Linked DNA regions of Neodiprion lecontei. The protein of the gene in region 2 interacts with the protein of the main gene of each other region in a pairwise test. Links are inferred from orthologs where the notes say so. Each region holds a gene or a part of one and is shown on either strand. Other genes may lie near its edges.

Region 1 (13,718 bases), on a different chromosome or scaffold from region 2:
CTGAGAGGCGGTTGATTCGATTCTGTCACTGTGGTCGTCTAGGTTGTCAACCTCTGAGATCGTGATACCTTCTGTTAGCTCCAGCGTGTTTTTCAAGACATCGCTTATAACGTTTGACACGTTCTGAAAGAGTGTTACGTCATCAGAATAGGTCGACCCGACCGGGTTACACGGTTCGGATAAATTCAATCAATTCGTCACCCGCACCGAACAATCCAAGTGCTGAACTAACCTTTTCGGCGGCTTCCCATTGATCATTTCTCATGGCCATTTCTTCGGCAGCGAGGCGTTGCTGCTCTAATAATTCGGCAACGAACTCCTCGCCCTCTTTTTCGGATACACAAATTTTATCACCGAGAACTAGCGTCAGTGCCTTGCCGAAACCTTCTCTTGGGTCGTAATCTTTGCAGAACGCCAGAAGAAACGCGGTGTAATTCACGTTCGTGCATCCCGACACAAACATCTCGCATAATAATTCCTTCGCAAGCATTAGCCGCACGGTTTCCTGCGGAGTAATATTACGGGAGCTTGCCGGAAATGTACTATCAACAGTGGAGTCGTTGCTGTATAGTGACCTTTTCGACTCAGACGGTGTTTTTGGTAAGATTAATCCGCAGGTCTTTTCGATCTTAGCGTATTCTCGTTCCTCTTCGTACATTTCCTCTTCGTTACGTTGATAATCCTCATGGAGGAGATTTTTGCAGGCCGGATCTTTCAGGTCACAATTTGTGAACCAGTATTTGATGGAATGAAATTGATCCCTGGTTACCATCTCAGACAGGGTTGGGTCCATGGCTATAAACTGGAACCTCATATCTAGGATATCTTCATCGCTGGGCATCGATATGTCCATAGCATAGATAATGAATTCCCTCCAATCGACGTACTCCGTATCTCCAAATATCTCTGTAACCAAGTATGGGACATCGCAGGGACGCAGTTGTGACCACAATGAAGGTAGATGGGATATTACACCTTCGTCTTCGCCGCAGGCGATAATGTCCTCGAGGATATAAGTGAAAAAACGTTGCGGAAGACTGCCGTGGGGTGCCACATACCGGAATATATCCATCAGGCGACCAAGTTGTCCCATACGAAATTGTGAGGGTAATTTTGCTTCACGTATTGGCTCAGGAGGAGGAGTTGGTTCATCCGGATACATCAGAACGCTTGATCTGACAATGAAGCGGTCCTCGTCCAACAGTAACTCTTCTTGAATTGGTATTTCTTCTTCGATTGCCAAACTAAATACTGATGCCATTTCGTTTACGCTCTTGATCTCTCTGTTGTAGCGATCGTTGGTGGCAGTCATTACGTTGGAAAAACATCGCTGCATAGTTTCATAGAGAAAACTGATGTCTGATAGAGCAGCGTTCTCTAACAATTTTAGTCTGAGGAGTATTCTATTTATTTCAAATTGCAAGGCAGATCGCCATTCACAATACAAATCAGGTCCTCGCTTGAGAAGTTCAGCCATTAGTTCGGCATCAACTGTGGGTAGTAATTGATTTTTGGCCATCTGGATTCTACCTTTAGCGTCAGGGGTAAAGGACGTTTGTTCTTTCTTTAAACTTTCTAACAACGATAGCGCCTGAGAATCAACGACATTTCGTGCGTACATGATATTTGCATGCACCGCTTGGTAGCAGATAATTTCTCCGGTAAGGTGAGGTGTTTCCTCAGCAGAAATTAGCAATTCAGCAATCTGTTTTTTGATACGAGTACAGTCGATGATAGGTGCTTTGTGTGGAATTTGACTAGCAACATTTTTGCCAGTTTTCGATGACGCTGTTTCCTTTGCTGCAGGTTTTTTGGCTTTTACAAGCGATACAGTTGACGAAGAAATCATCAATTCGTTTGAAATTATTTCCAGTCTTTGAAGAGGAAGTTTCGCTAAACGATTCTCGGAGATGGGTCGTTGTAGCATAGAAGTGTAATAATCCTGAAGAAGTTGTACAGTATCGATGTATCTATCTACTTCAGCTTCAATCATGCATATGTAGAGATTAGCCAAGACGACCATTTCCTCAGCTGTCCAATCCAATCTGATTATTCGTTGCCTTTCTTCCTCAGCCTGTTTTCGTCGTTCGTCGCAAATTTCCCAAAGTGCTTTCTGAAAATCGGCTACTCTACAATGCAACTCACACTTGACATCCAAGTCATCGCGCATGTCCATCGCAATATCATTATAACTCGTATGAAACTTGTGTAACAAATCTTGCTTGGAATCAGGCCGTTGAATGAAGTCTGTCATGTGTTTAGTCACATAGTTTCGGTAGGGCACAATGTGTGAGTACTGCACTCTTTTTATAAAGAATATTTCTTTAAGGTCCTCAATATAAACAGTTTCCATATTTTCCCATAGGTTTGCTAAGGCCTCCAACAGCAACGGAGCTTGAGGAAACTTGATCCATTCCCAAACATCTTCCCCGGGTTTTGGTGGGGTCGGTTCGACAGTTACTGTACTAATAGTGTTGTTCAAATAGTTTGCACCTTCACCTTCATAATCACTTTCTCCTCCCCAGTCATCGTTCACCGGTTCAGGACAGGGTACGAACTGTTTGACTATCGGAGTTTTGCTCAAGGGTGGGTTTGCCTCTTCATCTTCTAACGAATCCAAAGCTTCGCCGAACAGTTCAATAGATGGAACTCGTGGAATTGACATGTCTCCAATAGCGAGTCTACATAATCTCTTCAGCGTGAATAGATCGAAGGATGTGTAATAAACTGCATAAGCAATGCCTTGAGTAGTATAAAAGGCATCCAATGGCGTTGTGTCTTCCGAAAGTATCTCAAAAATGTCTTCCTCGCGTATGTGCATATTTTTAGGTTTTGGTAATGCTCGAATATAAGCCGTCATGTAAGAACTCAATGATTCCCTGCGTACGTTCGGTATTGGATTGTAGACAAGTCTAGATTCTCTGCAAGAACGAGAGAACTCGCCCAAGTTCTCATCTTCGTACGTTATCCTTGGAGGTACCTGGTTCAGTTCATCAATATCACCGTCAAGATCATCGGATATTTTTTTATCCTGAGGTATTTTAATACCTGTGAGAGCCGACTCAAGTTGTGCCATCTGATCAAAAGTGTTGGGATAATCAATCAAAACCCATCCTTCTATGTCGTTCAGACTCTTCATGTATTCGATAAGGATTTTCGTGTTCAATTCATTGGACAATGGCTGGCCCAGAGTGAGAAATTGATAAACCCATTTGCCAATGTATGCAGAATTCGAAAGATCCGGAGACATATCTTCATTTGGAATAACGCGAGGTGTCTGCGTTTGCTTATCAACAATGCGTGTAGTCATTTCCGTTGTTTTTGAAGGTCCCATAGGTGTTGCCTTCTTCTTAAGAGTAGTGTTTTTGTTCCCGCGTGAAGTTGGGTTATTTAGTGCAGTTTTCGACGATACTTCGTTCTTAGACGTTATGGCACTCAGATCAATGCAAGAGAAATCCTTCATTTCGTCTTTGAAGCATCGTAGGCAGTAATTTATTGCATCCTCCATGAAAATGAGTTTAATACCTCGGTGATTCAGCAATGACTGTATTGTTGGATAGACAGATGTGTCCAATACGCCGAGAAGGATGCAAGCTGAGGATACCTTGGGCACTGAAGCAGGCTCTGGCTTTGACTCTGGGGGATACACGTAATCTAAGAGACGATGGACGATGTAGCCAAGTACAATAATCCCAAGCCTGAGTATTTCCTCGGTTTCCAAATCAATATCTGGCATAAATTCGTCCCAAGGTGCGCTTACGTTCAAATAATTGTCGAAATCAGCGTCATTGAGAACCTCTTGACGCTCAATTTCTGCTCTGAAAATATCTTCTACTTCATCTTCAGGGTTTTCCTCACAGAGATATTCGATATTGTCAATTGATGAAAAAATTGGTTGACTCTTGATAAACAAGGCTTTCCATTCTCCCCAAATCTTGGCCGGAATAAAGTTATCGTTGCTTTCCCGATAAATGGCTGCCTGCACAGCGATGTCAATGAGATCGTTCAAGACATCATTACAAATAAGGTAATTCCTTTCGTAACAATTTTGTATTTTTCGTTCGTGAATTCTTCTATGTAATTCACACAGTCTCGAACACTCAGCCTCAATATCCTGACCTTCTCTGACGGCAACTTCATGTTCCCTAGCAAGTTCTATATTGTGTTCGGTCCTCATTCTTTCCTCCATCAATTTATTAACAATTCCTCTGTTCTTTGCGATCCTTTGCTTTTGATCTCGAATTTCGCAGAGTTTGGTCATCATTTGTTTTTCGTACTGTGACTGGGAGAACAATTTCTTGGCGACGGCTAGATCAAATTCAGTCTCTTGGTTGGCCACTTGTTTTTCCCACAATTTCGCCGTCAAAGATTTTTCCATTTGACTTTTACATCTATAGCTCTGCGATGCTCGCCGCGTTCGATCTTTCATACATTTTACATACGTCTTAGCAGCCTCCGGATCAGCCGGTGCTGGCTCCATTGCTTCACCAAGTTTTTTCTCGTTGCAAAGCTCATGATAGGTATATTTTTCTGGACTGCGTACCTTGTGCTGGCAACTAAAGTTGTGCAACTCCTGTATTTCCTGCTCCGGAAATGGTCGTATATAATCCATATGAACCTCACTTTCTTTTTCCATGATGTTCTCTGTTAGTATTTTTTCGGTGGAGTGTACTTGTTGTTGCTTTGATACGCATAATTTTCGGGCAAGTATGCACCTATTTAAGATTGCCTGGAATTTGTCGCGGTGCCAAGCGATTACGCTTGCATTACTTACAAGCTGGCCAGCAAGTGGATTTTCCGAGCATACTGGAGGCGGTGACTTATCTGGGACTGTGCTAACATCAAACTTTGACGACTGTGGAATGAACTTTTCTCTTTCTTTTTGTTGGGTAATAAAGTGAAGCTTGTCTTTACCCTCCAAACTGACGAAAATCTTGTAGAAAAGTCGTGTCGCTGTAGTACCCTGTCCGTTGGATATCTCCTCGATGGTATCATCGTCGCAATCTACCCCGATAAACTTGAGCCACACGCGAAGAAGTTTCAGATTAACCCTTGCTAAGGCTGGGTCCTCCGTGCTATGTATCGTGCTGATCTGGGCGTTGTCAATTATGTCGTAACTGTGAAGAAGCTGAGCTAGAAGAGTACCGTCTCTGGTAATTAAACCAAAAACGTCTGGATGTAGATCGATCATTATTCCTAGCCTATTTTGAAACCATGTTTTTAAAACTTCACTCATTTTCAACACTGCGCGGTAAGTTACGAATTCAGTATTTACATTCGCGGTCGCAGAAAATTTTGTTACTGTTGTGAGACGACCAATAAATAACTTTTTGAATAACTATAAGTGCTGTGGTGATATTAATTCATTGAAGTGAAACTGTATTTGATTACATCGATTTTGTAGACAATTTCAAGCCGTACTGGGTGTATTTTCCTTCTATATAGTTGACATCTTCAGTACATGAGAGATGCTATGTTTCATGAGGATTCAAATGGCTAATGCTAAAAGTATAAACATCAATGCTCTGCGACTAGTCTTATGATATTTTTTACTATTTTGATTGAATGAAATATCGGACTTGAAAATTTTAGCAACAAACTGACTCAAAAAAGGTTGGTATAAAAATGATATAAGTATTTGAGATGTCTCTTCTGAACAATTGGTTGGTGAGTTGATCCTACCATTTCTATCCATCCGAATATGCCAATAGTAGGTATGCATGCTCTGGACCCGTGCGCGTTTGGTTGCCAGAGTTTACTGCGTCAGGCGCAAGAAATTTACAATATTCTCTGGTATCATACATAAAACTTTTATCGTTCATTTTTAATAAGTGTTTTGAAATTTTCAATGCATATGGAACATTGATATTCAACTCAACAGTAGAGTAAATACTAGTACAATGGGCAATTCCTTCGTTGGCTGTTCCTTTGCCAGTACCACGCCAATACAATATATCCTAGTCCGGTTTCACTATCGTTGCGCCAACCGCGGTCAAAATCGAAGTTTTGATCGGAGCCCGCGCTTTGCGGCATGGCGCGGATCTTGAGCGGCTTGTCAGCTGTTGGCTGTGGCAATTGTGTACCATTGTGTATGGTAGACGTCAAGGTGCTTACCTTTGCCAAAAATGATTGGGCAATGAAAAATTCGAATATCTTGACAGTAGTGCAGTAAGACTTAACGTCATCTAAACTTTCGGGTGAATAAAAAATGCTGAGATGAAATCAAAACAACCTCTCCAACTTACACTAGCAATACTAAAGCCGCATGTAGTTAAATCTCCGTTTGTTCTTCAGGTAAATTACTATCTAATTTCAAATGCAAAAACGTCTGGTGTGAGAGATCAATTATTTATATCAATATTGCGATCATATTGAGTAAGCCTCACCTCAGAATGCATTGAATGTCATCATCCGTCGTGCACCTCCGCAAAGAACCTAACGTAACCTCAGTGAAAGTAAATAAAAAAAGTCGTCAGATACCTTGGTGACAAAATTAAACCGAGTGTGCCTCAAATGTCAAAAGCATGGCTGTAAAAAAATGCGAACTACTAGTGTTGAGATCGGCACGTGTGTTGTATGAAAAATTCTTTCAACTTCCAGAAAATTCGTGACTTGATAATTGATGAGGGTTTCAAAGTTGTCAGATCTCGTAGAACGATAATAACACCAATGGAGGCAGAATCGTTTTATGCAGATCACAAGGAGAAATTTTTCTATAATAGATTGATGACCTTTATGTGCAGCGGTCCTTCAGACATCCATATTCTGACAGCTCATGATGCGATAGCTAAATGGAGAACATTGATGGGTCCAACAAAAGTATATCAAGCCCAATTTCATGCACCTCATACTATCAGAGGGATGTATGGACTGTCAGATACAAGAAATGCAACTCATGGATCAGGTAATAGCATGAGAGAACTTTTATGCTTTGTACATAAGCAAAATAAATTCAAGAATTTCTGAATCCTTATACTTTCCAAGATTGAGCGTCTTATGAATTAACTTCAAAGTACATTTCTAAGATTATTAGTGTACTAGTCCGCAAGTAATTCAAATAGCCCTGTGTAAAATTCATTGATAGTGGCCTCATGTTTCAGACTCCCCAGAATCATCAAAACGAGAAATAGCCATATTTTTCAAAGAATTCAACATAGAACACTGGTTCAAAAATGAAGAGATTTTTTACAATTCAGGAAATTTAAAATTTGATCCATCTTTATTCATTCATACCATTGACAGAACTAGGAAAATAAACGAGAGTGACCAAGATACAACAATGATTTGAAGTTTAAAATTAGCAGACAAACGCCTTAAACTTTTGTCAAAAGAGATAATAGAGGCCCGTTTCATGATCCATAGTTCTATAGAAGTATCAGGGGTTCGATGTATTTGAAAAAAATTTCATTGTTGGGCTTCATTATCTTATTTCTGTAGAAAGTATCATGTTTGTCTGGTTGTTTCAGCTTTCTGTTCAACCATGAATGCACAATTCACCAATGATATATTTACCATGATGTATTGTATATAAGAATCATACCTTCTGATAGTTGATTATGTAGATTATAAATAAAGGTAAAGCAGCAATGAAGTAGGTTGTGAATTTGGTAGTCATATTATTTATCCTTTCGAAGCTACTTGTTATCGTTGCACTTACCTCCCATGTACCTGAATCTATACTTCATGAATCAAGAATGGCACTAAAAATTAAAGATTTTACTATATTCAATGTAGGAATACACGTTGATGTTAATATTGAATGGGTATCGATTCCTGTTCTATGTTACACTGATCAGATCACTGGAAATTTACAAAACACAGTCATGCAGTAGAAATAAAAACATATGTTTTTTAAAAGAATAATTTATTGTATTTTTCTTTTGTACTTGAAATCTTGATGTTTAGTATTAGATCACCCTAATTTAAAACAGACTAGTTAATTTACATGCGTCAAACAAATATTTACAAATTATTTCCTGGATTAAATATTTTTGTTCAAAACAATTCAATCTGCTAGATGCCTACAATATTTCTTGAATTATTTAAACGAAATACAAATCCTTCCATACTATAAGTCAGACATATTATACAATATACACAAGTTCTGCAACGCATGATAATGTGTACCAAATTGATAAATGCACCACAAATCACATGTGATAAAAACTTCAAGCGTTAATTTTGACATAGACTTTTGGTCTCGAAAATACTTTTATACCCTCTTCTATTTTATTGAGCTGTTTCTCAATTTCCATTTTTCGTTTCTGGGATCTCAGAGTGTCAGTTTTTATTGGCATCATATTTAATTCCTTAACAAATTCTTGATAGTCTGCAAATAATATGTTAGTATGTTGTAAATAACATGTTAGTATTTCATCGTTCGAAATGATGTAATCTTTTTATAATTATTCTAACCACAGTTAATAAACAGCAAGTAGCAGCAGGTACTCACTTTTTTTCAACATACGGAGGGTCTCCTGGCGTTCACTGTCAGGCAGCGGGACGTGGCCATCTGGACAGTCAGGATCTGGTGCCTCTTCTTTCGCCTTTTGTTCTTTTTGCAGCTGTGCCTCTTTCCGTTCTCGAAGATATCTGTAAGTAGAAAATGTCCATTCAAGACAAGATTATGAACTATCACGATGAAAAATCAAAACCGAAACAAAAAAAATAAACTTAAAATTAATTCTAGAGTATGGAAGATTAGTTAAAATTTTCAACCTATCCAAAACTGAAGCAAGACAAAAAAAAAAGTAACGAGTCTACTTGCAGATAACGAGTAAAAGTAATGAAGAGAGAAGTTACTTTTAACATCATACTTGGGAACAACACCCTTTCGATAATGAGTGGGAGGTACGCCATTGTTAAGCTGTGTAGCCATTTTGGTAGCAATTGATGTTTGCTGTTTGTTCAATTTAACAAAATCCGTTCCTTCCTCACGGGACGAATCTAAGTGCAGATCAGGTGATTTGGGTGAAGGAGATGATGGTGTTGAACTAACATCCCCACGATCCGAGGGAGAGTTAGCACCTTCACGTGGTGTTTTATTATTTTGTAGTGCTACCTCCATTGTTTTGCACATAGCCAAATCCAGTCTAGGACTCCGTCGGGTAGAATACCTAAATAAAAATTATTGTTCAGAAACAAAGTTGCAAAAAGTAATTGCAATATCTTTCAAGCAGGCCATGAACACTAGTACCTAATTGTACCCTCGGCATACAAATTGCTCATGTGTTTAGCATCCAAAGTTTGAATTCCCTGGCTTCTATATTTTACTTCAGTGTTACTATTGCAACAATGCCCACAGTTTAGGTTTGGGTCTGAAGGAGCCTTAGTCATGTTGCTTTGCAGCTTTTTATTCAAAACTGCTTCACGAGTTTTTCTCTTGAGTATAGGACTCTTTGCATTACTATGCAGTACCATGAATCCCTTCTGAACTCCTGCTGTGGTTTTACTTTGCAAAGTTGGGGCACTATTTTTGGAATGAGGTTGAGCCTGCGACTTGGATTTTTCAGGACCATCCAATTTCTGTTTAGCAGTTGATGTGCATGTTTTATCAGAAAAGTCCTCATCTTTAGCTTCACGAAGACTGGAGTTCACCCGCGATGCTATGTTCTGATATCGATTAGACGCTTTTTGTTGCCTTCGAATTTGTAATTTTTGTAATTCCTCAACTTCCTTGTGATTGTGAAAATAATGCTCCATTCGCCGGAGATTTTTCACATTTTCATGTATGAAGTTTTTTCGCCTGTTTACTTCTGCATTTACAAAATTACACAAGTGCTATTAATTTCAAAGAATAATAAATGTAACAATACTTTTCAACATGTATATTGTGCTGAATATTGCCATTGATCAACTAGGTCATCGTAAAGTGTGATTTTAATAGTATGTAACCTGACTTAGGTATGGGTGATAACTGCATAACTGACGATAAACTTCAACGTATTCGAAATTGTTCAGGAAACAATATTAAGTAGGTAGAATCTTAAAATAACAGAAGATAATTTGTAAACAGCTTTCCTTAACAATATCAACTAGAAAAGCTGTCTGGACTTACTGGGTTCGGGAAACACACCTTTCAATGTCGCCATTTTCAACGTAAAATCTATAACAATTGTTTTGTATGCGGAAATATCGTTGATAAATCCCGGTGGAATCTATAGGTAAACAATTAGACACCGAATCGACTCGAAATTATTATATGAAACCTGAAGTGACTAATTTTATTCTAATGTTCGCACCAGGTATAATAACATACTTAATCGATATAAATTTAATTTATCTGCCGAAAGCAATGAAATCAAACTTATCACTTCAATTTTGCGCACATTCCCGTTTTCAAACAAACAATTTTGTTTACAAAGCAAATCATGGCCACTCTGACATTTCTGCTGACATTTTCAGTTGCTACGAATGTTCATAGTGCTGAAATCTAGAAGCTGCCAAACATTACCGACATCGTAGTCGATAAGTCAGCTCGTGTTATAGATGGCGTGGAAATGATAACTGCCACGCAAAGAACCAGCAACCTCCATAACGTTGACCGAGGATATAGGTATAAAGACTGATAATCTTGTGTTATTTTGCGTAAGAGTTTGCCGGGTTTGAGGGAATTAGCAGTTTCATATATCATCAATCAAGCAACTGACCACACCGGTAAAAGAAGTTCTTCATAACTAAGAACTATCGCGTACAAAACGTTGGTAACATACAGTCGTCATAGTGAAATTGAAAAGCTGAGAAAATCCCGTTCAAAAAACATCCGCAATTGGTTGGAGAATTCATACTTCGCCTCATGTCGCATGTTACGGCAATGCTCTAAACATTTGATCGCGTTATGCGTAGCTTACGCGGTGTTTTCACCCAGCCGCTAAGACCATAGAGATATATAAAACAAAGCGTAAGCAACGGTGTAAGCGTCCCGTGAACGGATTTGAATCGGTTCTCTAAACGACAGCAGATAATAATTCTAAACAGCAAGGCAGGCGCGTGCAGCTACCCCCACTCCATGTGAAGCGCGACAGCGCGAGGGGGGGGGGGGGGCGAATTATTATGTTCCGTTCTTCAGAAAACTGAGTTAGATTTCTTCCGAGCGCCGTGCAGCATCAGTCGTTTCCGAGCAATCGGAGCGAAATCACGTGCTCTCAGTATTGGTTCAAGATTCAGACCGCGTTGTTCAGGTGATGTCACGTTGTTCGATCAGTGTATTTCCACCATACTCATCTGTGAATAATATACGAGGAGCAGCGTGTAACCTGAAGGAAAACCGAGTTACTGAAATAAAAACATCCTGCGAACGTTGAAGGTGAATTTCGTGTCCGAGTTTTCATTGTTTAGTGTAACTTCAGATTACAGTGATGTCTACTTTTGTCTTTATGCGTGGAGTATCAATTTTTTTTTTTGGCTGATTTTCGGTAAATGCGCAATCGCATTGTTAGTAAGTTTGTTCGGTCAGTTCAAATAGACAGCTACGACAAAAAAAGTGAGTGTAGTATCGAGTGTTAGTGTTATTGCGGTGCGGATTTTGTGGATTATAAGAGATTAGTGAAGATCTAAATTGTGTAAAACGTGCGTCGCTTCACTAATAACCATGAGATGCTACAAGAACTACTACATCTAAAAGCGTGGAGCAGCCCAGAGTCGAGGTAACAATACTTATTTTAGTTTTGGTCTTGCATAAAATGCAATGCAAAAATATGAAACTAGATAACACTAATAATTAATTTGAAAACTGAAAAGCCAATTTGATAAATTAATTCAAGTGTTCTATTTTGTTTTTCAGAGATTTAAGCAGAGACTTCCGAGTAACTTTTTCATTTCTCGGCAACGTTGGTGAGGTTGCATGTGTTAGGTTACGGGTATTTCCCTGGGATTCCTCTGTCACGTGGCGTGGCGGTAGCAATTGTTACACAAATCTTCGATTTCTTAGCTTCATGGATAGGCTCATTCGCGATGGCAACGTGCTTGACTTTGTCGAATAATTTTTTTTTGGCATTTAATTTACCATAGCCTGCTTGAAGTTAGAAATTTTGCACGTTGCTAAAAGTGGAATGAGCATCGCGACAGGTAACCATCGCTTATTCGACACTCGCGAGGTCGGATTGCGTTTCGTAACTGATGTAAAAATCTACACTTGAATTTACCGATGTCGTTTAAGTGGTGGGTTCACCTGAGGTTTGAACGAATTCAATTATTTACATTATTGTTAAATCGATAATATTCCAAATTCTGGCATAACGTAACGTAATCAAATTGCATCTTATATTATATATCATTTTCAATCTTTTAACAGCCAACAAGTATTGATCAAGTGCTGGCTTAGTTCGCTTAGAAAAATGCTAATTGGTATACAGGATGTTTTAATCAATTTTACAAAAGGTTAATGTACCGATAGTCTGCTAGTATTTAATAAAATAATACATACAATACGAGGGTTGGCGGCATACAACCGCGATACTGTATTCTCAGTAGGCAGACTACGATACAAAAACATTTTGCTCCCAACAGGTAAACAACGAAAGTGTAAGTCAGTGACCACGGCGCAAATGATGAAGAATGATGTGTGTTGGAAAAAATGGAGAATCGTTTAGATCGAATATAGGTAACCGGGTAGGTAGGTGGACGTTTTGGGACCCGTCGCGGGGTTTATGCATGTGTGTGTGAGTTTCTCTTTTCCGTTGGGTGGTTCCGTTGGGAAGCAGGCGAGGGTAGGAAGGTCGCGATGAGCCGTGATGTTACTAACTTTTGTAATCCACAGCGTCAAACGATCACAGAAACTTTTTTCCAAAAAGACTCCGTATTCGAGTCTCTCGACCATTTGCAAGCATTTGATATTAACGAAATCGAATTTCCCATTTCTTATCACTCTACAACCATTTTTCAATCGTTATTCAATTCAATTATTTAGGCATTACCGATCAGTATTCCATTCAATTGATCTCTGTGATCGTCTGAATGGGCAAAACGCATTTCTGGACCATCTATCGCGTTCCGTGGTACGCTAGATGGGGAGAGATGCTGAGCTCGAAGACGTCGCGTCGAAGAGGACCGCCGACCGTCACGCCACACAATAATGCATGCCCTCCAACCTCCCTCCCGATATCGCTTTGTATTCTGAGAACAACAATCCGCATAGCAATGTATCTAATTTAAAAAGATGCAGATGTGGATTGGGTTTCTAGAGAATTTTCAGGACAAGTTCCCGATAATACAAATTTTTTAATAGTTTAATCTGTCGCGGCCTTATTGCGCGCAGATTAATCACGAGAATTGTACGCAGCTTTTTGCGTGTAAATTAATAACCGGTATCGGACACGTTTTTTGCGCGTCCATTTGTCAAGTAGCATATAAAAAAAGTTACGCACACTCTATGTGCTGATCTTTCAGCTCTTCGGTCAATTTTTTGACGAATAATAAAGTTGTCTAGTTCCATGCCGCCTTTTGCGCGTGGACTTGATACTTTCCAGTTATGAGAGAAAGTGCGGCATTAGAAAACCTGCGCTCAACGCGCAGGAAAAAAAATCTCGATAGTGTATACTGATAATGGAGAATATTGTTGTAAGCATTTATGAAACATGTCTGAAATGTACAGAAATACTTGTTTAACTGATCGCATTATTTTCTATTTCACAGAAACAAAACTAATTTTTTAACAAATGCACTGAGAACTTTAGAATGTTCAGTCGAAAAAGATATTCACTTTAATAACCAAAGCAGAA
Region 2 (17,726 bases):
GCGCTTGATTTAGGCAAATTAAGAGAAACAGGGATGAATTCGAATGAAAATGGGAAGATGTCAGGTACAAATGTTTCTGAACAATCCTAAAGAAAAAAAAACATGCGAGCATGAGTATAGTGAAAACTGTATGGTACATTAGTTTCATTCTTTTATTTCTTGTCTTATAAAGTTTCGTATATATTTTTAACCGTATAGCAAAAATAGTAAGGATGCAAACGAGCTAATTAAGATTTCCTTAATGACGTGTGTAATTCCATAGTTTTTGCAACTATTAGAAAAGCTCCATTAAATAATCATACCATCGATCTTCCAATTTGTTATCTCGATTCTATACAGTAGAAACTTCCACTCAACTTTGCCCATCTAATTCGAATAACGCAAATGAAAAAAACCGATGACAAAATTTCAGAAGAGTTAGGGATTTAGGAGAAAGACTGAACTTTGGAGAGTTTGTAAAAGGAGAAGGCATGAAAAAAAAAATGGGTATATTTAGGATTTAGGAAATTTACCGCTGTGAAGCCTGCAAGAATACTTTTCAAGTGAATCGCTGTTTCGCAAATGGAGATTTATGAAAAAATGCGTGCTAATTTTGCCAATACGCAACCATGTATCCACATATACGTTTTTCATACTTCTACGTTATCATTCTGGTTCTAAAACTCCTTTGTCTTCACCTAAACTTTAATCACAACTGAAATTTCAGTCGAAATATGCGTTTCAATCCTTGATGTGTCTATTACTAGATTTTTCAATCGATAGAAATATATGGAGTAAAATTCAGCATAGAAGCTACAGTCGAAATGCGATAGTTTGAGGAGATAGTAAAATAATAGTGAAACTTACCATAGATGTGTCAGTGAGTTCAATAAAAGTTGTAGTCGAGTTAAAGTTTATGTCGAATTCGCTTGATTTTTTAATGCAACTCATGCATTAGTGTATAGTATATGTATACACGAATATAAGTTAAGCTACCATTTTTGTACCGTACATTCTACAGTGGATTTTTCTCTGTGGATTAGTGAAATTGTGGAAGCTCTTTATAATAAAACGGTAACCATGAAGCCATTTCGATTCATAAAGTGAGACAAAGTGTTGAGAAAACATTAATTTCAACGTTATTCCCAGTTATACGTCACAATTGTCATACTCCTTGAAAATCGTGTAAATGAGATTTTAACGTTACTTTACACATACGTAAAACAATAATTTTCTCCCAATGCTTAATTTAGATAGTTTAACTCATTCGCTTTAATATGAAAATATTGACTCAAAATGCCTTTATTTCGGTAAAGGAACACTTCTTGAACAAGTTTGAGATGTTTTGGACATGTTTCAGAAAATGAATTTTTTTTCAAAATTTGCGTTTTTCCGCAATGTCAGAATAATTCTACAAAATAAACAGTGGCAACGAATTTGTAAAAACATTTTACCCCGATTTGATATACTTGAGAGTTATTTACAGAAATTCGTAGAAAACGAAAATTAGTGTACAAAAAAGCGAATGGGTTAAACCTCGCATCATGCAACAATAACCTCAACAGTTACCACATAATATTTGATTGATGCATAGGTTCAAGGTGCAGGATGGGGATACCTGAATGTTTGTACATCGCGTTCGGTGGTTCAGCCAAATTCAACTTCTCCGAACGACGTAAGCTGCACATCAGTGACAACAAATACGCACAGCATCAGCATATCCTGCAGTGGCGTGGATCTCATACACAGATGTCAGCCTCTCTACTTATCTGTGGCAGCTAATGCTTCGGATTCAGTATCATACCAATGCACAGGTATATTTACAGTACCTCTAGAAAATCCAAAGCCATGATGAATATTTTTCCATCGAGTATACCACGAAAATCAGACGCGTTTAAAGTACGAAAGAATTGGTCTGAGTAGGAGAAAAAAGCGTTTAAAAATTTCCAGAAATCTAATTTTTGCCGATAATGGTGAACAGAGATGCAATAAAATCCTTAGTATGTAACAGAAATAATTCAGAGTAAATTCGAATAACAGAAGTTTTACGGTATCAACAATTTCAGAGATGAGTTTTTTAATAATCAAAACGTTGAAAATGATCAAACTCTGGTGCTTTTGATGGAATTATAAATATTTCAGGCCTAATTCATTTACCATAAATATATCCAGATATCGCTTGAAAAAGTTTCACAAATAGTTAGCTTCGAAGTGGATAAAGAGAAATTTTTGAAAGCATGGTACAATAAATCTTCGTCAAAGATTACATTTGCTTTATAACTATAATATAAAGTAAGATTTCTAGAATATTTTTCGAGAATTTCGGAGAATCTGTTCGGTGAGTAAAATGAACTCAAAAACATTAGAATCGGATCGAATACATTCGAGTTTAAGCATTTCGTATCTTCCAGTTGAAGAACTTTTTCGCAAATTGGTGATATCTTAGCTGGTGTTATTTGAATTTGCTCATCATCATTTCTATAACATAATAAAAATGTTGTTTGATTAGTGTTCAACATTATTAGCGCAAATAACACTGCTGGAGTTTTTTCAAACAGTCTTTTCTCTTTTTATTTTGACCAACAAAATGCTCGTTATCCAGTGCCATTCAAAACGCTGGTATTTTCTGTATTCTACAATTTAACACACGAGCGTATATCTACATAAAAATCTTTCAGATGCCAACGTTTGCCGTTATCCGGACATGCGCAAGTTCACAATATCGTACGACAATCTTGTATGCCGAAGCAGTGCCAGCACTTTCTTCTTTGCTCCATTGGTTCTGGTAGTATCTTTCATTATCAACTTCATGTAATATAAGTGTATAGAGTTAAACGCAGTTACCGAAGTGATTCCGTGTTAAAACGGTCACGCTTTTTGTTAATACATACTACGGAATTTTTACGCTATTCGAAGATAACATTGTATCGAGTATTTGATGGAGAAACATTTGCGCCAGAGTTTTCAAACATTTGTTGTATTTACAGAGTTATCGCAAGTTTTAATCACGAGGGAACCTTTTCTCAGTGCATAAGCATGGCTTTTTTCGGTTCATACGATAACTTTTAGCTAAGAATTTCATTACAGTACTGAAGTTAAATTAAAAAAAAAAAAAAAATCGTCGTCATTCAGTTGTAAACGCGATATTGTTGGATGAAGATAAATTTCAGGGTAATATTTATTTTTCTATCTCCAAGCTGTAACGATTTGGCTACATTCTCTGAACAGAATAGGAGGACAAATATTTTGCATTTCAGTGCAATCAGCTTTCCAATATCAAAAACTTACTTACTCTTTAATACTTGACATAATAATTAAATGGCTACTACAGCGATAAACATTAAATTTTAGATTTTCGTAAGATAATTAATCTCATGATGAGATAGGATACATAAAACTTGAAACTATACTTGGGCTGCCGGATTCTGATCATTTCTCAAGTGGAAAACTAAATTCGGATTTTGAGAATCTAGCAAATCCATTACACAACTAATATAGCCTAGTGGGAATTTGAGCAAAGAAGTTCCTTTGAACAAAAAGTTGGAATAAATTCATAAATATTGTAAATATTCTTACAAAAGTAATCGTATTCCCCGGTGAGCAGCGACATGGCACATTTTCAGAGCCTTGTATAAAACCATGTGATCATTTCTCCAAGAATTATTCATTTAAAAATAGAATCATCAAAGTAAACGTCTGTAACTTGTGTATGGTCGATCAATTGATTTGAAGTTGAATTAATGTCACATTCAAGTTCAACTGTTCAAAACGAATTCAAAGTCCTCAAAATATTATAATTATGGTATCTTGCAGAAATGCGATCAACACTTTGGTTCTGAAAAATGAGAGCAAACATGAATTACAGATCCGTGAATTCTCCCTCAATTGCTTGCAATCTAATCTGATTACGCAAAGGAGTCAGTATTTGTGAAACCAGGTGAAAGATTTTTTTTTGATATTGAAAATGGCGCGTCATAGGAATCAATTACAAATATTACATCATCATCAATTTTACTGAATTTAAGTTTAGAAACTAACATTTCCAAACTGCATCACATTTTCAATTCACAATTATTGATCTGTGTCGTCCCGGTTTTATAGTTTTCAAACCCAGTTATTTGATGAAATTTGAGTTTTCGAAGAAAATGAAATAATAATATCAGTATGTAAACTTTGACATTTGCATTGGTTTGCTGAAGGAAAGTTTGATCAATTTATTTGAACTTGAAATTTTTATTTTTTTTTCATTTTACCTATATTTCACTAAGAAAGTAGATTCTTGATAAAAAAAAAGCAAATAATCGCGTAGTATTCGTACTAATAATACATTTCAGATTGCACCCAATTTTTATTTTTTTTTTCCATTGCATAGTACTTAATGAGATGTACTTAGTGAAATGAGAGTGTTAACGTACAAATTAGTTAATAAAAACAGGAAGAAGATTAAAAAAGGAACAGTTTCTTTGCCCTTATTTTGTCTTTTATTTATTTCTGTAACAAAATACTGACTAGAAAAAGTTCAGTTTAATGGGCTAATGAAGTATCCTTATTTACGAATCAGGGCTGCACAATAAAACAATTAATCATACATTTTTTTGAAATTAGTCGATTGATTGACTCTTTTCATTGATTGTTTTTCTGAATAATCGATTGTTTGGCATTCTCAATTAATCATTTTCCCTATTAATGGATTCATTAGAAACATCATTTAGAGTTTTCCCGATTAATCAAGTAATCAACCCTTTCAATTAATCGATTTTCGATTAATCGGCCATTTGTTTATTGAAATTGATCTTTTCTTTTTTTGGATTAATCGACGAATTAGATAAAAAATGAGTTCAAATCTGCGGTTAATCGATTAATCGCGAAGCTCTAGTACGAGTTAAGTCTGTATTAGCTCTCCGGAAATAATGAATTATTTCCTTCTTTTAAATAGACATTACTTTTTACAATCCTACAATTGGCAAATACCGGTATCATTATCGAGGTTCAACTCTTAATATTCATACACACCTTGTGACAATACGTAAAAATATATTTTGTTCGTTAGGAAAACACTGCTTTATATATAAGGTTTACATAATGTGACTGTATGATCGACGCCGCAAGAAACTTTTTTTACTTGAGCACCTACTGCTACCTAGAATATAATATATATAATTCATGTGACAGCAAATAATAAAGAATGTCATGAAATGTATGACACTGTTTGACATATACTTACTTTCAATGGAAAGAACTGATCCTCGATATTCCCAAGTCCTAAAGATCCAAATTTGTTGCATCCCCACATATAAAGGTCTCCATTATCAGTCACTGCCGCCAGTTGACTTATACCGCAGTATATTTGAGAAACCTGTGACAAGGTAGAAAATTTTTTTTCTATCATTGCTGACTATTATATTTCTTTAATCGAATAATTCAGTAGTAAATTTTGTATGAAACATCGAATTTCAATTTCGCACAGTCATCACTGGTTGAAAAAAATAATTTCAGATTTTGGTAAAGAAGCTAAACTATCCAAAAACACTGTCTTCAAACTTGAAGTAAATCGGTCGGACCGGTTTTGAAATATCGTGGGCCCCGCAAAACATGTCACTTAGCTAAATGGTTGACGTTATTGTCACTAACAATGCTTCCAATTATGTCTATAGTAAAAAAAAAAAATATGTAGCTGAAGTTCGATCTACACACGTTTCGATAAAACAAACTCCGATCGAAATGAGTGGTTGGTTTTCAAGATATCAATTCCCAAAATTCACCCATTTCTTTAGCCGTCTACTCATCTATAATCCATTGATTTCGATGAAGTCTAGATGACACTGAATTTCAATTGTGGTCAATCCAAAAGTGTATTAAAAACATAATAGCAAACTATCATTGCTTAAGAATAGAATTTCATGAATGAATTTTGTGAACTGGGGGAATTTTAGGCAAATTTCTACTGACCCGATTATTACGGCTATACGCGTTAAAACCAAACAGAGTAGCCGGAATCATTGTAGGTTCTTTTGCTCTTTGTACAGCAGGACCAACTCCAAGAATTCCATATCCCCATACAAAAACGTTGCCATCACCTAGGAATTCAGATCAACAAGAAAAATTTATGACAAAAGAGTAAGGAAACATAATCCGCTACTTATTACAGTAAATTGTTTACTCAAAGAGATTTGTCACTTAAAAATCAAGCCTTTGCTTCGAAGGTTCATATGGTCAACACGTTCGTAAGCTATGATGATTTTTCTAGGAATGCAAAATAAAAAACTAGGATAACCATTTTTCATCTCTAATCGCATTAAGATGCTGAAAAATCTGATATATAAATGCCACATCATTTTGCGAACGAGTCATTTTATGTAGAAGGTAATTTTTCAAGTAAAGTCCAACAATTTTTGTTTTACTTATCAAGTTGATATTGTTGAATATACAATTTTCCAAGATTCCAGTGGTATCGATTTTGATCAGGAAATAGCAATACTTAATCAATAATTGAGAATAAGACAAAATTTGTTTCACAGAACTGGCAAGAAACAGTTTTCCAAACAAACCAAGCCACCATGACTTCATGGAGTGAAATTGAACGAGCCTAGTAAATTTTTCCACCATTTTAAAGCTGTTTCCAGTGAGAAATTGATACTTAAACTGCTGTTCATAATTTTAGTCACACTTTTTCAGCAATTTTGGAAGCATCACCGTAGCATCCGAACGTGATAATTTGATAAAAACTGTACGTGAGCTGATCTCGTAGTAAAATTAGTAAAAAAAGCATTGATTTTTAACCGAAGGTATTTGATCGATTGATTATATATTCTTACTGTTTAAAACCATGCAAAAGCTTCCGCCTGCAGCAATGTCTACAACATGTCCCAGGGAGCGACACTCTTGGATTTCTGTTGCAATGTTTATTTGGTGATTATCAACCAAAGATGGCAACTGTCCATATTCCGAATTACCCCATCCGAATACTGTGCCTTTATCTACCAAAATTATATTAGAATGTTAAAGCTGCTGAAGTAGGGGAAAGTTAACTGAATTATATACAGAATTTCGCAAGCAGATTAGACGTCCAGGTCTTTCAAGATTTTCCCCAGTATTCTTTTAGTATGGGAAGTCTCTTCAAACAAATTTATGTAGAATATCACATCAATATATGACGTCTGCGATTTGTTTAATTGGTTAAGCAATGATAATAACAAGTAGTTTTTTTTTTATAGCATACCGCTAAGCGCCAAGACACAGTCTGCCATACAGGCAACTTTGACAATATTTTCACCAGCCAAGTCTCCTTTCACTAAGCTCGGTTTGTACTCATTTCTGTAATGTGCAAGACCAGTTTGGCCATCTGCACCCCATCCAAATGTATAAACTTGGCCTGACTCGCTTAAAAGAATACTGCAGAAAACAAAGAGTAGCTTGTAATTCATTGATTTATAGATTATCAAGTTTTTAACGCTAACACAATGAAAGATTTGGAAAAGGTGCCCCTATTTTGCAATGACTTTGAAGATGTTCAGTTCTTAAAATTTCGAGTATATTTTGCTTCATTACAGTTTACCGAATTTCTGACATTTTCAAGTTTGTGAAATGATTTATAAAAACACTCTCACTGCATCATCATCATGAACTTCAATCTCGTTCGATATTTATGTTAACATTTCTTTATGTCCTAAAAATGGAGCAGGATTCGTTTTTTTTTTTTTTGTTTTTTTTCTAAAGATTTACCAGTTTTATAAAGCTCGTACTGCAAACTCCACACATGGCTAAAAAAACTTCCACTTCTCACCGTTAGTGCAAAATATACCATAATCAAATGAACCACCTTTTTTCATTCAAGAAATGTTTTGCTTTACGAACTTTAAACGTCGAATGAATGATTTAAATTTGAAAAAAAAAAAAAAACATATTGTAAAGTAATAATTGGTTATTTCATGCAAAATATATGAACTAGAATGATACAACATGTCGTTTTGTACTATTTACATTGAAAATGTTATAAAAGATAGTGGTCAACTTTGGTTTATTATCTTTTACCGAATTGAATTTAACGTAAAGTTGCAAAATGAACATTTTCGTTTAGAAATGCATTGTTAGAATAATTCTGTGAACTTTAGCCTCATCTTTCTTGGAGATACAAGACAAACCGAAATTTTATAGAAAATGCTTATTGCAAGTCAAAAAATTTATGGAATGCCCATTGCCGTGTGCAGATCCAAAAAAATGTAGTGATTGCCAACAATGAGTAAATATCAGGTTCAAGTTCATAATGTTAATATAGCCATGTATTTTTAGGAAAAATCGTTAATTTGCAAGTTTAGGATTCTTTAAATTTCGTTAAGTCATACAATGAATATAAAAATACTCTCATACTTTGGAAACTTAATAACACCTTCAGTCACTTTTAATTGAAAAATAGTGATTTTTGTTTCTCAATGTTTCGTTACATTAACGTTACTAACTTCAATCTTATTTATCTTATCTTATCTTCACTGTTGTCTAAGGTAACGAGTATTATTTAAATGAAAATAAGATTATTCATGTACAAATTCATTTGATGAGATGAGAAATAATTTCTCTCGTAATTGTCTCTACAAGTAAGATTATCGTCATTTTAATGTGGTTAATTGAGTAGACAATAATAAAAACGGAAAATTCTTAGTGTGTTGAGAAAAAAGAATTGTTAATTGCAAAAAATATTTTTTTGACGGCAGCGCAATATCTTTTTGTTCAACGGTTATCTGAGATCATTCTGTTAAAACAAATGATCAAAATAACTTATGACAGTGCTGATTGGTAAATGCTATCACGTACCTGTGATCTTGGCCTGCTGTTACAGATTTTATGCGCTCCCCTTTGATGTCTGGTATATGATGAACTATTGTATTGTTTGTGTAATCTTCATCGACAATTATTGGTCGTCCACATTGACCATAACCATTATTTCCAAGTGTAAACAGGCCTTCGGTTGTTAGAACTAACAAATGTGCACGACCAGCAGCAAGTCCAGTTACTTGACTGGACGGATTTTTTAATGGCAGATGTATCGGCTTTGGGAGTGGAACAACATTTTGAGGATCCTTTGCTGCTGCATCATATCCTGAGGAAAGAATTGGATCAAATTTAATCAAAAGTGTGAATCAAATCGAATGAAGACTGCACTGAAGGCACCTTTAAAATCTGTCAATCCTAGCAATATTTGACTAAAATTTAGTCTGATCTTTCCGAAAATGAAATCCATTTTAAGGCTGTTGTCGGGAACTGTTCTTTACACTTTCAGTCCATGTTTGCGAACTCCTAAGAATAAATTTTCTGCATTTTTTTAATGTGAAATGGTAAACATTATAGAGTACATTCTGAGTTGTATAGTGGAATGGAAATGGCATCGTTTATAAAACATAATAAATATTCGAGGGATCATGGATTTCCTAAATATATTCTGTATCCCTGGAATATTTTTAATGATTTAATTATGATGTAATTCTAAAAACTTGAGGATATACTCCAAAATGTCTGAATTTGAATAAAGAAAATAAATAAAAATCCATTTTTGATCCGTCATGTATATACGACTGAAAAGTTGAAAAAACCTATGTTTTTTTGTCACAATTTCAGAAGACCTATCTCAAAAATGATTACATAATCATAAGAATCAAACTTTTTTATGCCAAAAGCACAGTAGGTCGTATTTTTTCTCGACAACAGGCAGTGCTGAAAATTCAAAGACGAAGGTTCAATTTGAAATTGTGGAATTCATTTGTTTTTACCATTTGACTTGAGTCCTACAGCTTTTTCAAATGAAAGGTAAAAGAGAGGTGTGGAATGTTTAAATAAATCCGATTTTCAACTCCTAACCATTGGCTACTACTTGTAGAATCAAGTTACTGTTTATGATAAATGCCATCGAAAATATAACGCAGAATGTAGATTGATAGTTACCCACGTATACAATCAGTTTAATATTTTTGTCCCAAATTTTTATTCATATTGCACAAATGCGTGCACGTGCCATGTTGCAGATATCCCTCTTTTACAGCATCTGGGTTAGAAGTTGTGTACAAAGATGCAACTTCCAATTATACAATATTACGTTATCTGGTCGATATTAAATTTTAACCAACTTATGGAATCTACTAAATGATATATCTAACATTTATTGAATTTATATTTTCATCTTCACGTTCATTTACCCAATTGAGAATCTGTGTTAATTCCATTTCCCCAAAGGATGTTTCCATCTTTCGAGTCAACGGCAAAGACCGTAAACCCATAACCAGATTCGATATCTATCACTCGATGCTGTTCTGCAAATCGAAGTCTGTTCGGTTTGTGATAAAATAAGAACTTCTTGCGCTTCGCGATCGGCGGTTGAAGTCCCAAGGCTCCATGACCAGCAAGGCCCCAAACGTACACCCTGCGGTCGCTACTCTGACTTACTGGATATTGAAATACTGCAATGCAAAATTACAGAAAAATTTTCAGCATTATTTATATTAAGACATTAGATGTCTAAGAAATATTTTTTTTGCTCCCACCTGAAAAACTAGAAACATCCTTTTGTGAAAATAATTTATTATAAGTTGTATGTATCAGATAGGGGCAAAAAAAACTTACTCTCGAAGAAACCACTACAATTTGTGTACTACAAATGGTCCGAATTTTAACATTACGCAGAGTTTATTAGAACAATTAAATGACTGCGATAAAGATATGCTAAAGCGACGTGAAAGAGATTGGAGTGAATTTAGCCTGCATTGTGTAATGGCAAGATTTTCGGGAATTCTCATGTCTTATTTCTGTTTACACAGTACAATACGAAACAACTTGTTAATAACGCAGTCAGTACCAATCACTCTTAGAGGATTGATATCATGTAACGTAAAATTCAGGGTACTTTTTAAGTGTCATCGGTGTTATTTTCGTGAAATCGAAGTAACTCCAGTGGAGTCACTGTATCAGGCAAATACACATCGCCAATGTTGTTATTCATTATGTCACATTTGTTTACGGTAAAAAATCCCTAGAGTGATCGTTACCTGGCAATTCGTTTGGTGGTGGGTTTGGAGATTTTGTATTCGTTGCTGTCAATTTTTGGCGGACTTTTGGAGAAGATAATTTTGAATAATTTCTGACTAGCTTAAACATTATTTAAACTTTTGTAGCAATATTTGAAACGTGCCGTACTAATTATGGCATAGTTGAGTAAGCGACTGTTTTGCACGGTTGTCTGTTGTTTGAGGTTAGAGTTTCATCTGCGGTAACACCGGTAACACTTAATCACGGAGCAGTCGGCAGGAGACGACACTGAAGCACCGTTCGGCTCAAACGTTGGACTAGTTTTGCGGCAACGTAACTTGTATGAGGAATAGTCACGTTGCGATTGAAGCGCCTCTTGCGGGGTAAGCCCGTATAGCGCTCTCCCCCCCCCCCCCCGCCCCGTCCGGTATCTTATAATTCGCCGTTTGCCACCTTTTCTTCAGATTCAAATGTCAGTTGGAAAAGTAATTACTCAGTTTTCATTCACTTCAAATGCGTATTTTACGAATTTACGGAGTATGTTTGTAGCACGGATGTTCACAGGTTACGATCGCCACCCTTCACTTTTTACATTTTCCTATATTTTAGGCATTTTGATTGGTTACCTCTGAACCATGATCCGTGCCGCGGTGCCTAACCTTAGAGCATATAGACATAGAGGATGCATCGACGCTAAAGAAAGGTCCCCGAGCCAGTGAGCGAGAGAGATGTCGTAATGCTACATGCGCTCTCTTTCTACAGCAAGAGCGTACCTATCGTAATTGAGTGCCTCGAGCATTGCGTTGAAATAATCCAGATTATATAAATACATATTATACATTGGTGCCTGGTAGGTCAGGTTATTGAAACAAACAGTCAATAATATCAATGTTTAGCATATTTTTAAATGCAACGATACAATTTATAAATGTGGAATGGGCATTTTCGCCGAAGTCTGATAGAAACGCGACGATTCAACGGCTTGATTTAGTAACAGGTACATTTGGGGACAATAAGACCGTGTAGACGGCTAATTTTTTAAACTTGACAGTTATGTTGGCAACACAGAGAACCCTTGCAGCGCCATTACTACTTCTCTCTCTATACCATTTTACGCTTGCACGAAAGGGTATACTAGACTTCCTCCATAAAATGTGAATTCACCCTAAGGAGATAGCCAATTCGGACGGTCTTGCGCTCAAGGGTGCGTTCCGAAATTAGCTCTCAGCGCTAAAAACTCGGTAGCGCAAAAGAGATAAAAGATTGTTGACGCACTGGGAGTAAATTATCGAAACGCATCCAAGCTGTATGCTGCACGTGAAAAACCAGCGTATATCTGGCAGTCGTTGTCGGACTACGTGATTCTTAGTTAATGAAAGAATGTTGTGGGTGTTTGGAATTTTTTTCGTTTACTCACTTCACATGATTCAGAAGTTGTAATATTGTGCGAGAGATGGTCAACAATAAGTATAGATGAACAATTCAACAATATCCGTTCTTCTGCGTGACTGAACGTCCGGATGAAAACATTGTCACCATCATAACACGCTTGAACATTATTCTTATATCATCCACCACTATCTCATAGTTGAAACTAACCGCATCAAAGCAATTGACAACTTTGCAAAGTCTTATGATTTATTGAATAACATCAATCGTTAGGAAAACTTTGAAAGAATAACATGTCTAAGCGTAAGCTCGAGGATGTACTGAGTGAAGACTGGAAGGATAGTAGGGCGAAAACAGAACCGACCGTCAAGAATTCTTTAGACTCTGATGAGGAGGACGAAGAAGCCAATGAGGATAATTACAATGTCATGAATGAGGATGACTTTGAAGGTGCGCAACATTGCCATTAGTTTACGAATCGCATCCAATAATTCTATTTAGTTTAATAGTTCAATAGACTTTAATGTTAAGGAATATCCTAGAATAGGATTCAAAAATATGATACAAATGATGATAAATTGTGTCTGAATTCCTCTCTATAATATGCGAGATTAAAGTTAGTAACTTTAATGCAATGAAAAGTTAGAAAAAAAAAACAAATATAGCAACTTTGAAACAACTTTGAATGAGTCAAGTTTACAAAACACGAGCTTCACACTGGCGTCGTTAAGGTTTATATAATTTGGAGCAATGCTAATGTTGTAATTCAACAAAGTTTCTTACAAAATGCATCGTCACAATAATGTGATGAACTTCAAATTTGTAATATTTGTTTAGAATCTTTTGATGAATGTTCTGATCAAAGTCTTTCAGCAGGGCCACTTTTCCAGTTTTTCTCTCATATTGTCTATTTCATTCAAATTAAGTAGTAATAATAATTATATACGATTCTTTTCTAAATCTTTGAAATTCGTGTTCACTTGAAATCTTTTATTATAAAGGAACGGAAGACGATCCCGTAGCAGCAGAGACAGATGTAGGCTTCACAGCATTCAATATGAAGGAGGAATTGGAAGAGGGACACTTTGATAAGGATGGTCATTACCTCTGGAACAAGGAAAAGCAGATCAGAGACAATTGGCTTGACAACATTGACTGGGTTCAGGTTGTTAACACTGCTCAAAAATCAAATTCCGCTACTAATGTATTTATTTTGTTAAAAATACTCTATTCTACTCGACTATTATACAATGAGATTTTTACGAAAATATCTTAAGTTGGAAAATTAATACAAGTTTCGAATTCATTAATTTTTTAGAAAATTCGTAATCTTACAACGGAACTTTTGAAACTGTGAACTGTAATAAAGCTAGTTGTACTCGTATTTTGCAATGATTCTAAATTTTTTAATGTTATTAACTTCAATCTTATGCAAAATTTAAGTTTTATGTTTGGCTTTGTTACGGTTCATCAAATTTCAGACAATGTTAATGGTGCGAAATACCGATATCGAAAATAGTGACAAACTATAGCATCATGGAAACTCTTCTTTTTATTTGTGACTGCAAAATCAAAAACTTTATAAGGGAAATAGAAAGCCAAAAATGAAACGGATCTTTCAATTATACTTTCATAGTTCTGTGTGAAACGCATAATCATGGCAATAATAACAACAACTAGTTTGTTAATAATGTAAGCTCTGATAATAATAAAAATAAAAACAATAATGCCTAAATTGGGTTACAGATTAAATCTGGGGGACGCGAAGGTACAAGCAATAAAACAAGTGACAAAATCAAAGGATTGGCGGACAGCGATAGCGAGGATGATGAACAAGAAGTAATGTTTGACAGCGTGCCATTGTACAAAAAAATTCTCGAGTATTTGCGTCCTGGGGAAACTGTATCAAAAGCACTTCGCAGACTAGGTAAAAACTAATTGATCAGCGTTTGATAATATAATTTTTTGCATTCAAGGGTTTATTGAATATTGTTTTGACAAATTTTTTTTAGTGTTTCTAGTAAAATCATTGTGGGATAAAACAAACCCCCCCCCCCCAAATCTCTCCACCCACCTAATAAAATGAATTAAAATGATAAACTAACTCGATGGACAAAAGAGCTTAGCTTTTTTGCAGTAGGTATGACCAGGTGATAGTACTTCCAGCCCTCTACAACTTAGTTTAGTTCGTTAGATGTTTAAAGAGAGAAGACAGTGTAGCGATGGCCACTAAGCTAAATATAATCGATGTATCGATTAATCGAGTCCAAAAAAATAATTGAATAAGGCTCGATGGAATCGGTAAAAATTAATCGATTAATCGATTATCTCGAAGTTTGCTGAAACGGTGTATGTGAAACCAAAATTCCGTAAATTTCAGTATATAGTCTTATAGCTATAATAGCGGAAAAGTTTTTTCAGAACTTATAGTTTCATTAAAAATATTTTTCAATTTAAGGTGAAAATATTCATTTATTTTTCACCTATTATATCAAATAGGTACCTACTAAGTAAGACAATGATAATAATTCATACTTTAATCAGATAAATTAATATCATATTGCATCATTCATGGAAGTAAAAAACAAAAACTGATTGTGAGGATAAATAACTGAGTTGGTCGCTAATCAAGTTTGCGATGATACTTGATAATCGGGATACAACAATCGATTTAATACACAATCAATTATTTTTGGTCATTTTTAAGACGGTGGCAAATTGTCATGCTAGACAAATGTCGGAAGTAGTGAACAATATTGAGGAGGAAAAGGAAACGCATGAAAAAAAATTATTTAAACAAACAAGTAAATTACTTCACAATGTATTATGTCTAAATAAGTAGCAGTAAATTATAATGAATTGAAAGTGAAAAGTCACGTATCAAATTCGAGAAAAATTTGTAGAGAATTCAAAGCTTATGGATTTCTTCGAAGTACGGCCCACCATCGTTTTCTAATCAAAAGTAGAGAAGTATTCAAACAAATTGTGTCGCATCCCCGTCGAATAGTTGGATTTTATTTCCAAATTATAATACAAATTGATTTCACCTATTTTTCGGATTCACAAGATATATACCTGGTTGTTGTCAAAGTTTTGATTCAACACATTTCATGATAACAAATACAGTAGGCATTTCTCGTTATGATTTTACCTAAAAGTTGCTGTTTTGATGCAACTGACAGTTCTTCGTGCAGTATATTCACCTATGATTTTCCATGATATTTAGGCAAAGGAAACAAAAGAATGACCACTGCAGAACGATGGAAAAAGAAAAAAGAAGCACAAGCCGGTATAGAAACTAATGAAAATGCTGAAAAAATAACACAGTTAACAGAGTTTGCAAACGAACTTTTGACACGGACCGGTAACATGGATATATACGAGGAAAGTTATGAACAAATTAAAAAAAAGGTATGCACTGTTTTTATAAGTATCCTCAGTAAGTTTGATTACTTAACATGTAACTGTATTTATTGCATTGAGAAAACACTGCATGTAAGCCATTCTATACCATCTTGACTTTTTAACGTATTACATTCTTTAGCACAAAATAATTATACCATTTGGATCTCTAACTAAAACATTTGCCGTCGCAAAAACCGATGTATTCATCATTTTGACGAATTGCAACAGGGAAACAATATAGAAACCCCTAAAAGTTGACAAAAATTAATTAAAAAGTTAGTATCCTAAATTTCCCAAAAACCATGTTTCTTTTCTACTGAAAATTCCAAAGAACACTCGATTTGGTCTAAGAAAATATGTGTAATTTTCGTCATGGGTTCAGATTTAGTTTGAAAGTTATGAATTTTTTTTTTTCCTTCATAATTATAAAAAGTATTGTATCACGTTATGTTGTCATCAAGTCATACGAAACAGCTCTGAAATATAGGTATTAAATTATTATATTGAACATTTTTATTATATACTATATACGTAATATTTATATTACAATAATCATAATTTATACAGATAATAGTAGTAATAAAAGTAAGTTCAAACTAATTTCAACTCCATGCTGAACTTTGCACTTGTTTATTTACACTACATAGGAGTATCCTTCGAAATTTAAATGGGTGTCAGGTTTCGAGAAATGCAAGAAACTTATGTTCATTTTACCAAGTTTTGTAAACTTGTAGGGTTTTTCATATTTTTTTTGCATGTTATAATTTTCAAATTCATTCAAAACAGCTTGTTATTTTCTTCAGAATTCTGTCGATCGCTGGTCGAATTGGTATGAAATGCTTGATTTGTACAAGACACATGTGTGAAGTTAGACTCGAAATTGTTCTTATCCCCATTGAGTTTTTGGAGTAAAATTCAATACTCATCCTCGCGACGTACGTTTTCGTAATTTATATAATTTTTTGGGACACTGCAGATTGAGACGAGTGGGAAACAGGCTCATCCATCGAAACAGGAAGCGGAATTGGATATGTACTCCGACGATTTTGATGTTAAAGAAAAAGCCAAGCTTGACGAAAATGCAGCTCCTGGTGGTAAGTTCTCATTGAGTTATGTGTAACAGTGCCAATTATTACATTTATTCAATATAAGTAAATATCGAAAATCGATCCTAAACGAGAATATCAAAATGCTAGACATAGATTCAATATTTATAAATTATTTAAAGTAATTCTCAGTTAATTTAATTCGATTGTTTTACAATTACCGTTGAATTAACTGCATTTGCAAGCTCATTTCAATTTGAAGATAGAATAGTGTAATATACACTAATTGTGAGCAAGTATTTGAGGTCATGCATCTTTCTGTGGCAAGATTTGTAAACCTTTGGGCGGTAATTAGGCGTAAATTATAAGTATAATATTCCAACAGGTATTTTTTACCTCACGATACGAAATTTTGTTTTCATTTCAAACAGATCTGATGAAAGTATAATTGTATTATGATATTCCACGTTTCTTTAAGGAAAAAAAATTACCCCTGAGAATTGTTCTATTCGAGACAACATCAGAATTAAGATTTCAAAAAGTATTCCTGAAAATTAGTATGTAAATTATAGACGAGGTTGAAGTTAATAACGTTAATGTAACGAATCATTTAAACAAAAATCAGTTTTTGATAATTATAGAATAGTTTTGGGGGATTTAGATTTTCAAAAAAAGACTATGTATTACTTTATCGTGGTTTGATGAAATTCGTATAATCCTTAAATTCGGAATACCTAGCATTTTTTTTCCAATTTGTATTGCTACATTAACTTTACGAACTTCCACCCCATAATTACAGATTCTAATGAATGATTATTTTTGAAGATTCGTCGGCGATGGAAGTTGAGAAATCAAAAGCGAGTTCGACAGAAGTTAAGCAGGATCTTGAAGAAGACA

What was found.
Region 1: the proteins of RCC1-like G exchanging factor-like protein (region 2) and nucleoside diphosphate kinase 6 interact in binary tests that used the Homo sapiens proteins (3 or more experiments, as listed by UniProt). The link is inferred for Neodiprion lecontei from reciprocal best matches to the Homo sapiens genes RCC1L and NME6.

What each region holds. Positions count from the first base shown.
Region 1 is NC_060260.1:28,970,076-28,983,793, forward strand, and holds nucleoside diphosphate kinase 6, read left to right. Parts: upstream 1-6,023; 5' UTR 6,024-6,216; coding exon 6,217-6,294; intron 6,295-6,600; coding exon 6,601-6,904; intron 6,905-7,084; coding exon of another isoform or gene 7,085-7,100; coding exon 7,101-7,288; 3' UTR 7,289-7,603; downstream 7,604-13,718. Other genes in the region: sperm flagellar protein 2-like, read right to left, coding at 1-123, 233-5,236; uncharacterized protein LOC107220398, read right to left, coding at 8,169-8,329, 8,453-8,592, 8,817-9,116, 9,197-9,755, 10,058-10,091. UniProt on the Homo sapiens protein: Major role in the synthesis of nucleoside triphosphates other than ATP. The ATP gamma phosphate is transferred to the NDP beta phosphate via a ping-pong mechanism, using a phosphorylated active-site intermediate. Inhibitor of p53-induced apoptosis.
Region 2 is NC_060264.1:18,406,372-18,424,097, reverse strand, and holds RCC1-like G exchanging factor-like protein, read right to left. Parts: upstream 11,310-17,726; 5' UTR 11,119-11,309; coding exon 11,010-11,118; intron 10,425-11,009; coding exon 10,164-10,424; intron 9,074-10,163; coding exon 8,788-9,073; intron 7,372-8,787; coding exon 7,199-7,371; intron 6,957-7,198; coding exon 6,795-6,956; intron 6,057-6,794; coding exon 5,929-6,056; intron 5,336-5,928; coding exon 5,204-5,335; intron 5,195-5,203; exon of another isoform or gene 5,120-5,194; coding exon 5,042-5,119; 3' UTR 4,587-5,041; downstream 1-4,586. Other genes in the region: uncharacterized protein LOC107225508, read left to right, coding at 1,574-1,793, 2,658-2,794; CD2 antigen cytoplasmic tail-binding protein 2 homolog, read left to right, coding at 12,672-12,828, 13,380-13,543, 14,125-14,305, 15,605-15,789, 16,760-16,877, 17,655-17,726. UniProt on the Homo sapiens protein: Guanine nucleotide exchange factor (GEF) for mitochondrial dynamin-related GTPase OPA1. Activates OPA1, by exchanging bound GDP for free GTP, and drives OPA1 and MFN1-dependent mitochondrial fusion. Plays an essential role in mitochondrial ribosome biogenesis.